Caenorhabditis elegans: one gene and its partners. The protein of the gene in region 1 purifies or fractionates together with the protein of each later gene. This does not show direct contact. Each region holds a gene or a part of one and is shown on either strand. Other genes may lie near its edges. The genes, in order: gbf-1, pfn-3 and gly-3.

The links.
Region 2: the proteins of gbf-1 (region 1) and pfn-3 fractionate together in Caenorhabditis elegans (co-fractionation; one large-scale study listed by BioGRID). This does not show direct contact.
Region 3: the proteins of gbf-1 (region 1) and gly-3 fractionate together in Caenorhabditis elegans (co-fractionation; one large-scale study listed by BioGRID). This does not show direct contact.

The regions. Positions count from the first base shown.
Region 1 is NC_003281.10:11,771,751-11,775,503, forward strand, and holds the start of gbf-1 (Golgi-specific brefeldin A-resistance guanine nucleotide exchange factor 1 homolog), read right to left. Parts: upstream 1,932-3,753; 5' UTR 1,912-1,931; coding exon 1,838-1,911; intron 1,778-1,837; coding exon 1,429-1,777; intron 290-1,428; coding exon 167-289; intron 1-166. Other genes in the region: immp-1 (Peptidase S26 domain-containing protein), read left to right, coding at 3,214-3,259, 3,313-3,438, 3,489-3,583. UniProt on the Caenorhabditis elegans protein: Guanine-nucleotide exchange factor (GEF) for members of the Arf family of small GTPases involved in trafficking in the early secretory pathway; its GEF activity initiates the coating of nascent vesicles via the localized generation of activated ARFs through replacement of GDP with GTP.
Region 2 is NC_003284.9:1,078,966-1,082,718, reverse strand, and holds pfn-3 (Profilin-3), read left to right. Parts: upstream 1-2,069; 5' UTR 2,070-2,093; coding exon 2,094-2,204; intron 2,205-2,805; coding exon 2,806-2,853; intron 2,854-2,899; coding exon 2,900-3,023; intron 3,024-3,075; coding exon 3,076-3,173; 3' UTR 3,174-3,289; downstream 3,290-3,753. Other genes in the region: LIM/homeobox protein lim-6, read right to left, coding at 3,380-3,489. UniProt on the Caenorhabditis elegans protein: Binds to actin and affects the structure of the cytoskeleton. At high concentrations, profilin prevents the polymerization of actin, whereas it enhances it at low concentrations. By binding to PIP2, it inhibits the formation of IP3 and DG.
Region 3 is NC_003281.10:7,916,036-7,919,788, forward strand, and holds the start of gly-3 (Polypeptide N-acetylgalactosaminyltransferase 3), read right to left. Parts: upstream 1,733-3,753; 5' UTR 1,724-1,732; coding exon 1,578-1,723; intron 1,530-1,577; coding exon 1,375-1,529; intron 1,323-1,374; coding exon 937-1,322; intron 754-936; coding exon 1-753. Other genes in the region: Putative protein tag-250, read right to left, coding at 2,243-2,464, 2,511-2,734, 3,232-3,296, 3,352-3,542, 3,591-3,753.

The DNA of each region.
Region 1 (3,753 bases):
GATTTTTTTACTGAAAATTGAATTTTTTTTGGTTGAAAATTTGATTTTTTGGTTGAAAATTGAATTTTTTTGGTTGATAATTGGATTTTTTGGCTGAAAATTGAATTTCTTGGCTGAAAATTGAATTTTTTTTGGCTGAAAATTTGGGATTTTTCAGCAAAATTACCTTTCTAAGAAGCAGAGAGAGGTTCTGCTCGAACACAATTCTGAAACAAGACTGCATCATATCACAGACGGCTTCATTAGACAAAAGGATGCCTGGAGGGGAGAGAAGCAGCGAGCGGAGCACCTGGAAAATTGAGATTTTTTGAAATTTTTAGAAATTATCAGGTTTTTGGAGTTTTTTTTTGTGAACTTTCGGCGGTTTTTAGCAGCGCCTGTAAAATCTAAAAAATCGCGAAAAAATACGAAATTCATTTAAATTTTCATATTAAATTTTTTGCGTTAAAAACCTGAAAATCATGGTTTTTGGGAGTTTTTAGGTGTTTTTTTTCAATGAAAAATTGGTTAAAAATTTCTGAAAATTCGAGAAAATCGGATAAAAATGCATTAAAATGGAGTGAAAATCGATTTTTTTTTTAATTTTTACCATGAAAAATTGATTTTTATTTTCGTTAAAAACCTAAAAAATTCCTATTTTCTGCGATTTTAGGGTATTTTTCTGGAGGTTTTCTGGTAGAAATTTGAATTTTTGACGAAGTTTTTTGGCTAAAAATTGGCTAAAAACTCTGAAAATTCGAGAAAATCGGATAAAAATGGACTAAAATTAATTTTTTTAAAAATTTTTACTATTTAAAAGTTTTGAAATTCAATTTTTTTTCCTAAAAATCGTTAAAAAACACTGGTTTTAGTTTAAATTCATGAAAAAGTAATGCCGAAATTGTGAAAACTTTAGAAATTCCGTGTAATTTAGAATTTAAACGTCGAAAAATACGAAATCCATTTAAATTTTCATATTAAATGCATTTATGCATTTTTTTCAAGCGTTTTTATTGGAAAAATGGAATTTTCAAGTTAATTAATGACAAATTTCTCTTTTGTCTATAGAATTGTGGATTTTTCACAATTTCCATAGAAAAAAAACTTGAAAACTCCATTTTTCCAATAAAAAAATGCATGAAAAAATGCATAAATGCATTTAATATGAAAAATCAAATGAATATTGTATTTTTCGCGATTTTTTAGATTTTACAGAAGCCAAAAATCGCTAAAAAATTTAAAAATTTTTTAAAATTTCATAATTGAAAAACGGTAAAAATAACATAAAATTCATCCAAATTTGCACTTCTAATGAAATTTTGGCACATTTCTAGCAAATTTTGCGTTGATTTTTTATGAAAATTGACCTTTTTTCTCGAATTTCTGAGAAAAAGACCTGAAATTCTTAGATTTTCACATTTTAACATGAATTTTCAGCACTCCTGGTACCTGTAGAATCTTAAAAAGGACACATTCATCACTTCCAGTGCTTTTCCCGCCGATAAACTTTGTATGAACCACAGCGTAGGCGATAGACTCGACAGCGTTCGCCGCCTTAATACTGCTCGCGTCAATGAGCCCGTAGTTCAGAAATTTGGCGACAGCGGCCAGCGCGGCTTCCGTAATCGGTCCATTCGTGTTCTGAGCCTTTATTACGTCGAGAAACGGTGATAGATACGTTTGTGGATTCATATCTGCCAGATCGGCAACCTCATTCAGCACTTCCTTGAGATCTGTGAAGTTTCGCAGCAGTGGATCCGTGTCTTCGAGCGTCGGCACTTGTGACAGTTGGTATTGTCTGGAATTTAGTATTAATTTTTAATTCCAAAAACGCAAAATTAATTTTTTTGAAACAAACCTCCGAGCCTTATTGAGCAGCGCGACGACACAATTCGCCTCGCCCATCACGATGTAGACGCCGTTGGTCGCCATCTTACACTGACGACGACCTTCTGAAGTAATTATTTCGATTATAAACGGTTAAAACTATAAATTTATGAACATTTCAAGAAATTTGGCTTTGAAAACGGCTTTTTTGGGTGAAAATTAGATTTTTTGGCTAAAAATTGAATTTTTCTGCTAAAAGTGGATTTTTTCTGCTGAAAAGTGGATTTTTGGTTGAAAATTGAATTTTTTGGCTGAAAATTTGATTTTTCTGCTAAAAGTGGATTTTTTCTGCTGAAAAGTGGATTTTTGGTTGAAAATTGAAGTTTTTGGCTGAAAATTTGATTTTTCTGCTACAAGTGGATTTTTTGGCTGAAAATTGATTTTTTCTGCTGAAAATTGAATTTTTCTGCTAAAAGTGGATTTTTTCTGCTGAAAAGTGGATTTTTGGTTGAAAATTGAATTTTTTGGCTGAAAATTTGATTTTTCTGCTAAAAGTGGATTTTTTCTGCTGAAAAGTGGATTTTTGGTTGAAAATTGAAGTTTTTGGCTGAAAATTTGATTTTTCTGCTACAAGTGGATTTTTTGGCTGAAAATTGATTTTTTCTGCTGAAAATTGAATTTTTCTGCTAAAAGTGGATTTTTTCTGCTGAAAAGTGGATTTTTGGTTGAAAATTGAATTTTTTGGCTGAAAATTTGATTTTTCTGCTAAAAGTGGATTTTTTCTGCTGAAAAGTGGATTTTTGGTTGAAAATTGAAGTTTTTGGCTGAAAATTTGATTTTTCTGCTACAAGTGGATTTTTTCTGCTGAAAAGTGGATTTTTGGCTGAAAATTGAAGTTTTTGGCTGAAAATTTGATTTTTCTGCTACAAGTGGATTTTTTCTGCTGAAAAGTGGATTTTTGGCTGAAAATTGGATTTTTTGGCTCGATTATTAATTAAACCTATAAATTTATGAAGTTTTCAAGAAATTTGGCTTTGAAAACGTGGAGAAATTGAGGTTTTCTTGCGAAATCCGGAAGAGAAAAGCGATAAAATCAAGTGAAAACGACACGTCACGTGCACCGTTTTCTGGTGTTTTGTACGCAAACACCGCCACGGCAGAATGCACAGCGAGAATGTTTTTCGATTTTTTTTTGTTTATTATTTTTGTTTTTCGCTCTTAAAATGTTTTAAAAAGTGTTGAAATTCAATTTTTCACCTAAAAATCGTTAGAAATCACTGGTTTTAGTGTGAATTCATAAAAAGTCATGCCGAAATTGTGAAAACTCTATGAATAATGTGTTTTCTCCGTTAAAAAAAGCGTCAAAACTTGAGAAAAACACATCTTTTTCCAGATTTTCTGACAAATATGGTCAAATCAAAGGGCTTGAAGCTTCTCTGGAGGTTTACAAAAGGTTTTTTCTCAATTTTTCCTCCGAAAACTGCATTTTAAACCCAAAAATTCCAGGAACCGCCGCTTTTTACTGCGTCGGACACTGCATAAGCAAGTACATCGGGGAAATGGTGATCTGTAGTGGTCCATCGATGCATCCGACGATTCATGACGGTGATTTGGTGCTCGCCGAGCGATTTAGTAGGAGTTTTTTGAATGAAAATTTCACATAAAAGTGGCTGAAATTTCAGGTATTCGCAATAAAAACGTCCAGGTCGGAGATATAGTGGGATGTGTGAATCCGCAGAAGCCTAAGGAGCTTCTGTGCAAACGGATAGCTGCAAAAGTTGGTTTTTCGCTTGGAAATCGTGAAATTCATGTTAAAAAACTTAATTTTCACTGAAAAATTGAAAAAAGTTGGTTTTTTTGCCTCATTTTTAGAGCCATTTTCCGCGACAATGGTGGGAAAAACCTGAAATTCAGCAATTTTTTTTTACAAAAAAAAGCAAAAAAAAT
Region 2 (3,753 bases), on another chromosome or scaffold:
ACAGTTTATTGTTAATTTATGACATTGACAAAAACTCTTTTCTAAAAACTAAATGGGGTCATCTTTTCGATCAACAAATCAACTGTACCAACTCTGAAATTTTTGAATTTTTTTGTAGAGCTTAATTTTTAAAACCAAATTTCATTGGGTGCCCCAGGAAATTTTGTTTTTTCGTACCGTGTTAGTAAAGATATTATGATCCAAATCGTTTTTTTCCAGTTTTTTGGCACATGAACTTTGAAAACGAAATATTATTATTTCATCAAATTTTATCTAGATTCAATTTTTAGGCTGACGTTTCCTGTTGAGTGGACGCCAAAATGAGCCGTCCTAAAAAGCATCCTTATGTTTCAGCGTGCAAGCCGCAAATCAAAAATTCGACATTGATCTCATTAGACACTTTCCTTGCAAATCAATCAATAGTTTTTGAAATTTCGATGGCCGTCGGTGAGCGGGGCTATCCGTTTCCCTTTCTCTCTCTTGAATGTTTTCGTCGCGTCAGTGGAACCTGCAGATAAAGCAAATGAGAGAAAAAGACATAGAGCAAACGACAGCTTTACACTATGATTGTCGAGTTCTGCCCCGGGGATAGGCTCTCCTCTGCCACAGCGACTCCTCTCCCGCCCTTCATCTATCTGCGGTACTTCATTCCCCCGTACACTGTTCCAATCGGCGCGCGCTCTCTTCAGGATCAACACACTGTTCTCACACACACACACACGGGAGGCAAGGAGACAAACTGGTGTCTTACGGCTATTGAGCGGCAATTCAGTCTTAGTCTCACATTTTATGTCCAACAGAGGCTCAGCGAGCAACGAACCCCACGCAAATATCTTCCGATCTCTTTGCGTCCCGGTTTTGAAACGAACGTTTATTGAAACTTTTTGAAAGTTAGATTTCTCACTTTTTGTTAATTTTTTCGAATTGTTTTTATTTATGACGTCTTCCCCATATTGCCGTATTTTCTGAAAATATCAAAAAGTGGTAAATTGCAAAACTGACCAAAAATGAAAATTTTGTTAAGAAATAATTTACCTGCTGTGGCTCTAAAGTCTTTTATATATGTTTTTTTCGAATACTACATTTAATGTAACAAAACTGGTGTGCGTGTACGTGAAAATCTTGAAATTTAGTAGGCATCCACTTTGAGGATAATTTTCTGAGGAAATGCCAAAAATCAGCACCCCAAATGATATCATGGCCGGACATCTACCGGGATTCGGTCTTGCAATAAGCTAACTCACTACTGATGGAAGCACAATGCGGAGCGTAACCCGGTAGATGTCGAGTCATGATAACACTTCTGGTCCCGGTTTTTACAGTATTCCTAAAAGTAACTATCCAATTGTGGGTATTTCAAATTTAAGGATAAAAATACTGGGCCTATTCTTTCTATCTTTTTTTGAATCTCAGACAGGTTTTAGATTTGAGACCTTTCTAGTTAACCTCAATAATTAAATTCTCCAGTACTGGTAACAAGAAATCTCAAGGTTTTTTATTTGCTCTGTAATTCTTGGCTCAAACTCAAACTTTCACTGATTTCAATATTGATGTTAAGCACCTGGTCGTATTAATTTAATGTTGCTATAATGCTTTGTAAAAGTTGAGAAATTTGAAGGTGGCACAAATTTGTAGAAAATTTTACGTCATTTTCTAAAACAAAACTGCTATAAAAATAACTGCCGCTTTCCATCTAAAAGTATCCGCTGAAAATTCTAATAATATTTTATAGACATCGAATTACCTAACAACGAATTATAAAAAAAATTTTGTTGTAAAACCAAGTTTTAGCTTCTATAAAACCAAGTTTTAGCTTCTCCTAAGCAGGTAGTTAGACCTGATTTCATAATCGTTTACCAGACATGCGATCAGATATCTAATCAACATGTGTTCATTACTCATCTCTCCAAACTGCTATTTCAAAATAATTTCTTCATGATTTTTTGGAAAACGTCAGAAACCAAGCGTCATCTGTTTCCATATCTCTCTCTCTTTCTCCCACGCACTGCACAATTGTGCCCCGTTTTCCACGTTTTGAGCTTCTAGACTTTCACTTTTACTTTCAAAGTTTTCAGCACACACAAAACGAAAACATGTCGTGGTCTGATATTATCAACAATAACCTTATCGGGTCTGGAAATGTGAGCAAGGCTGCCATTCTTGGATTCGACGGAGCTGTATGGGCAAAGAGTGATAACTTTAATGTAAGTTTTCAAAGTTTTTAAAATTGTCAAGTTGCCAAAATCTCGACTTTCAGTGGCATGATCAGCTTGTGATTGGTGTTAGAACTTTTTTGAGATATTAAAACTGGAAAGGACTTGCAATTTTCTTAGGCTAGAATTCTAGGTATTTCTCTAGGAATGCAACTCCTGGTCGATACACCACCTCTCTTTGAATCTCATCTCTGATCTAAAAACACTGTAAACTTCTATCAAAATCTATATTTTGTCTGCACCAGTTTTGAAAGATTAGTACATGGTGCATTGACAGATAATGAACAAATACCGCCTGCGTGAGTTTTGTTACTGAAAGCATATTTAGCTTGTTATAAAAATAGTCTTCATGTAGGAAAGGTGTGTTGGTGTACTGTAGAAGTACTTTAGTGTTACTATTGTTCAAAAATACGTTTTATCTATTGAAGGAATCGTCGGTGAAGATGGTGTAGGAATATTGTAGTGTAGGATTATTTTAGTCCTAAAAATAAGGTTTCGTTATTTTTTGGAAAACATAAGTTGAGGCTAGAGTCGGGGCACTGAGCACTGTAGTAGATCAAGCAGTACAATTTGAATAGTAACGTATTTCCAGATCTCCGTCGAAGAAGCCGTCGCCGCAGGAAAAGCCTTCACCTCCTTGGTACCTTTTGCTTCTCTTAATATCATTCTCACCCTCTAATTTTCAGGATGCTCTTCTTGGAACCGGCCTCCGCTTGGAAGGACAAAAATTCTTGGTCCTCAACGCAGATAATGACAGAATAATTGGAAAGCAAGGAGGATCTGGATTTTTCATCTACAAAACTATCCAAGGTGAACTAACTAGGATTACTAGACTGATTTAAACAATCTCTGAAACTTTTAGCCGTTATTATTTCCATCTACGAGAAAGGACTCCAACCAGAAATGTGCAGCAAGACCACCGGAGCCCTGGCCGATTACTTCAGGTCCATCAAGTACTGATCACAATTCCCGAAGCCTCCTGCCGATTTGCCATCCATGTTTGCATTTTTTTTTTTGTATTTTTTCATTTCGTTTCTTTTTTATATAAATAAATAATGAAATAAATATTTATCTTTCTCAAAATTCAAAAAAATAGCAACTCGAAATAAATAATATGAGGTGAAAAGCAAAATAAAGCGGGTGGTTTGATTTCCGAACAAAAAAAGTCAAGAGTGATATGGAAAATAAATTTGGGAAGATGTCATATTATACAGTTTTTGAATTGGGTCCGTGTAGCTTGAAGTTTCCGAAGTCTCCACCTCGTCAGCGTCCAGGTCTGAATTTTTTTTTTGATAAGAACAATTGTTTGAATTCTAGAAGTCTATAGTTTTAGCCCTTTTGGTTCAGCTATCCGGGACTGACCAACTGAACAATTATGTAAAAGTATAGTGAAGCTTAGGCCGATCTTGCTGCAAATTTCGAGTTGGGCCTGCATCGCCCGACACCTCACCGGTTATACAAATCTATAGGAATTCACCTGGCATGGTTAGCCGACACAAGCACGGACCGTATCGGCTAGCCGTACCATGTGTACTACGCG
Region 3 (3,753 bases), 3.9 Mb from region 1:
TGCAGGCAATGGTGCTTCTGGATAGATGTTCTCCAGATACCACTTGAATGATTTACATTGCAACGTCTCTCGCAACTTCTTTCTTTCGCTAACATCTCCAGCTTCAACGTTACGGGCGGCTGGCACCATTTTGTAGAAGAATGCCTTGTATTCGTCCATCCAAACTTCTGCTGTACGTGCTGCATTATGATGGATGACTTTCGCTGTTCCACCTGGGAAAGTGTATGGAGTCTGTTTGCGGAAAACGTGTCCAACACGAGAACATGGATGAATTTCAAGAGAACCTCCACACATCCAGACTCGGAATGATATCTCCAAGTTTTCTCCACCCCATACTTGCATTCCTTCATCATAACTTCCAATATCATAGAAAAATTGCTTATCAATAGCAAAAAGACCACCGGCAATAGTTGGTGTTTGAATAGGCATTGATCTATCTGATCCTCTTCTATTCAATTCTCTCTTCGGTACAGCATACCATCGGAAGTTCAAATGCCAATTAAATCCACCCCATGTTGTTTCGGAAGCAGTCACATATTCGAAGGTATCATCAGAAATTACATCAATTATAGGAGCAACAACTCGTTTTCTGTCTTCAGCGACTCTTGATACAAGTGGTTCAAGCCATCCATCGGTAACCTCCACATGTGCATCCAGGAAGAGAAGGATCTTTCCCTTCGCCATTTCAGATCCGGTTAAGCGAGCACGGATTAGACCGGATCGATTCTCGAGATGAACCAAGTGGATTGGAATCTGAAAAAAGGTTGTCTGTTTAAGTCTAATATCGAAAAATCGAAAAATTTTCGTTTTATTATTCAAATTTTCTGTGTTCTGGCTATCCCTGAGATGGAAATTTTTTGTCTCCATCCTTTAACGAAGAACTAGGGTTACTGTATTTCGGAAGTCGCAATTTACAATTCAACTTATATAACTTACTGGGAACATTTTGATATAGGAATCCAACGGTTTGACCAAGTAATCTCGATCAGACTTATCGTCCACCAAAATAATTTCTTCCAATAAATGACGTGGCGATCGATTGATAACCGAATGGAGTGTTCTCAATAGTGTTGTCCATGCTTCATTATGGAAAACAATAATAATGGAAGTTTTTGGCATTCCAGCAGTTTTCAAATTATTTCCAGACGTGCGGCATGCATCTGATCGGTAATCCGGTAGAGTTCTATTAACTGAAATCATTTCAGAAGCGACAACATTGAATTGATTCTCCAAGAATCTCTTCTCTTTTATAGTTTTTTTGTCTTCTGGAACTGTGACTCCAGTACCTCCTTGTCCATGGTACCCTGGGCCAAATGCTTGAGCTGAAATACACAATTGTTTAAATATAAATTTTTATATTTTGCAATAGCTCACTTTCCATAAGTTTCCTCAATTGATTTGCAGTTTCTTTGTCAACGGGGTAAACTTGTTTCTCTTGTTTTTCAGGTTGAATAGGATGAGCATCTGGATCTGAATCATGTTGAGCTGCTGGTGGTAGTGGTTCTATCCGTCGAGCACGATTCAAGATTCTTAAAAATGATAACAATTAGTTGATGTAAATAATTTTAATAGAATACCTGTTATCCTCCGGAAATGGCTGTTGTTGTGATGTGGATGGATCGAGATAGTAAAAAAGAATAACAACATCAATGAGCAACCAGACGATGGAAGTGGCAATGACAGCACGACATACTGCCGAACGACCACCGCCCACACTCAGCATTCAATTACTCTGAAATTAGAGAATGATTAAAAATTCAGGGGAAAAAAGAAGATAAATTCCGATCAAAATTATTTAACAAGGCTAAATTTTCTTGAATAGTACTGGAAAATTGAAAACATGATAACTTTTGTGATAGAGAATACAAAAAAATGGTTTTAAAAATTCAAATAAAAATATTAATACGTGTCTATTTGAACACGTTTTATATCAAAACTAATAAACCGTGAACAAATTTTTTAAAATTTTTTAACAATTATTATTCCAACAAGCAAAATATACGAGAAGCACAAAAATAATTAAAAGACAATAAAACTGAAATTATCACAGAATTATGAAACTAGAAAGAATAAAAACTGAAGAGAAAAGTGGAAAACTGAGCAAATATTTTTGAATTTTCAGAGAAAGACTACTAATCGGCAAAACTGAGGAATTATGAAAATATACAATATTCAAAAATTAGAAAAAAATAAAGCACAAAATTGATTAGAAGCTTTGTAATGAAGACGGATCAGAAAATATTCAAATATTTCTGCCAACAATATTAATTGGTGTTGGAACAAAAGTAAGAAGTGACTGTGAATTGGGACTTGGAATTGGTGCATTTATTGGAAGAGCCAAACCACACGCGATGAGCCAGTCACCAATATCTCTACCACAACAAGATAAACGAGCTTCACAGGTTGGAACAGCTGGAGCATTTAATTGTTTCCATTGAGACCATCCAGGCTGAGTTGGTTCAACCTGAAATAATTAATTTGCATTTGAAAGTATTCTTTTCATGACTTACCACAACAGGTTCACCACATGCTGCTTCAAAGAATTCTCGAACAGCTTCATGTGACTCGCGGCTCCAAACTTCTCCTCCAGCAACTGGTTTGATTCCTCCGATTTTACACTTGAACATCAGCATTTTTTTGAATGGTGACGTGGAGTTGAGACGTCGCATTGCTTCTTTTCGCACGTATTGGAAAGCGCCCACATCCAGAAGATATACACAATAGGCTTGTTTGTCTGAAAAAAAAAGATGGACATTTCAAGGAAAAAAGGTATAATACTCAGCAAGATTGTAGATGTTTTGTTTTTTTTTTTGGGAAAAATGTGCGAAAAATTCAGATATACTGAGAAACTCACAATTGTTTTATTTACTTTTTCAAAAGTGCAATTTTGAACAGGATATTTAAATTTTTCCAAAATCACAGTTCAATATTACAAAACTATTTTTGCAATTTTTTTCAAAGTTACGGTATTCGGTCTCGACGCGACAAATTTATGTTGAATGAAAAGATGTGTGCGTCTTAAAGAGTACTGTAATTTCAAACATTTTTACGAAAAACTATAAAAATTCCAAAGTAACGAGATCTTTTGATTTACAGTACTTTTTAAAAGCGCACAGCCTCTTGTATTTAATGAAAATTTGTTGTGTCGAGAACTGGTACAGTAATTTTCGAAAATTTTTTTTTCAAAAATTTCCTGGTACAGTAAATAAAATAATAAATAAATATACCTACCAATTTTACTCGCACGAATACACTGAACACGTTCCCAACGATCATCGATAAAAGCCGCGTAGAATCTAAATTTTCAAATATTTAGCTTAAATTTTTTCAAATCAAAAAAAAAAGTCTCACCCTCCAAAATCAGGAGAACTTTCCAGTTGAGAATCAGGCAGAGCACATTCGTCTTTCAACTTTGCATACATATAATCGGGCATCGGGTCTAATGAAAGTTGCCGTAATGAGATGTCCGTGGGTCCTGCAGCGAAAATTGCATTTGCTGGGAACGCTGACATCGGCATTTGAGCAACGGTCATTGGTTGGATCTGAAAATGTTATTCTAAAATTTCTAAACATCAATAGAAGATATTTACCGTCGCAGGTTTGTCAAAAAGACATGTCAAACTGGATGTTGAAGCAGAAGCCGGAGTAATAGGTGAAGTTGTTTTTGTTGGAGTACTCAATCGAACAACTCCAGATGGTTTTTTAAGAAATTCGGTAATTGATAAGCCATCAGAACTTTGAAGATCTACAACT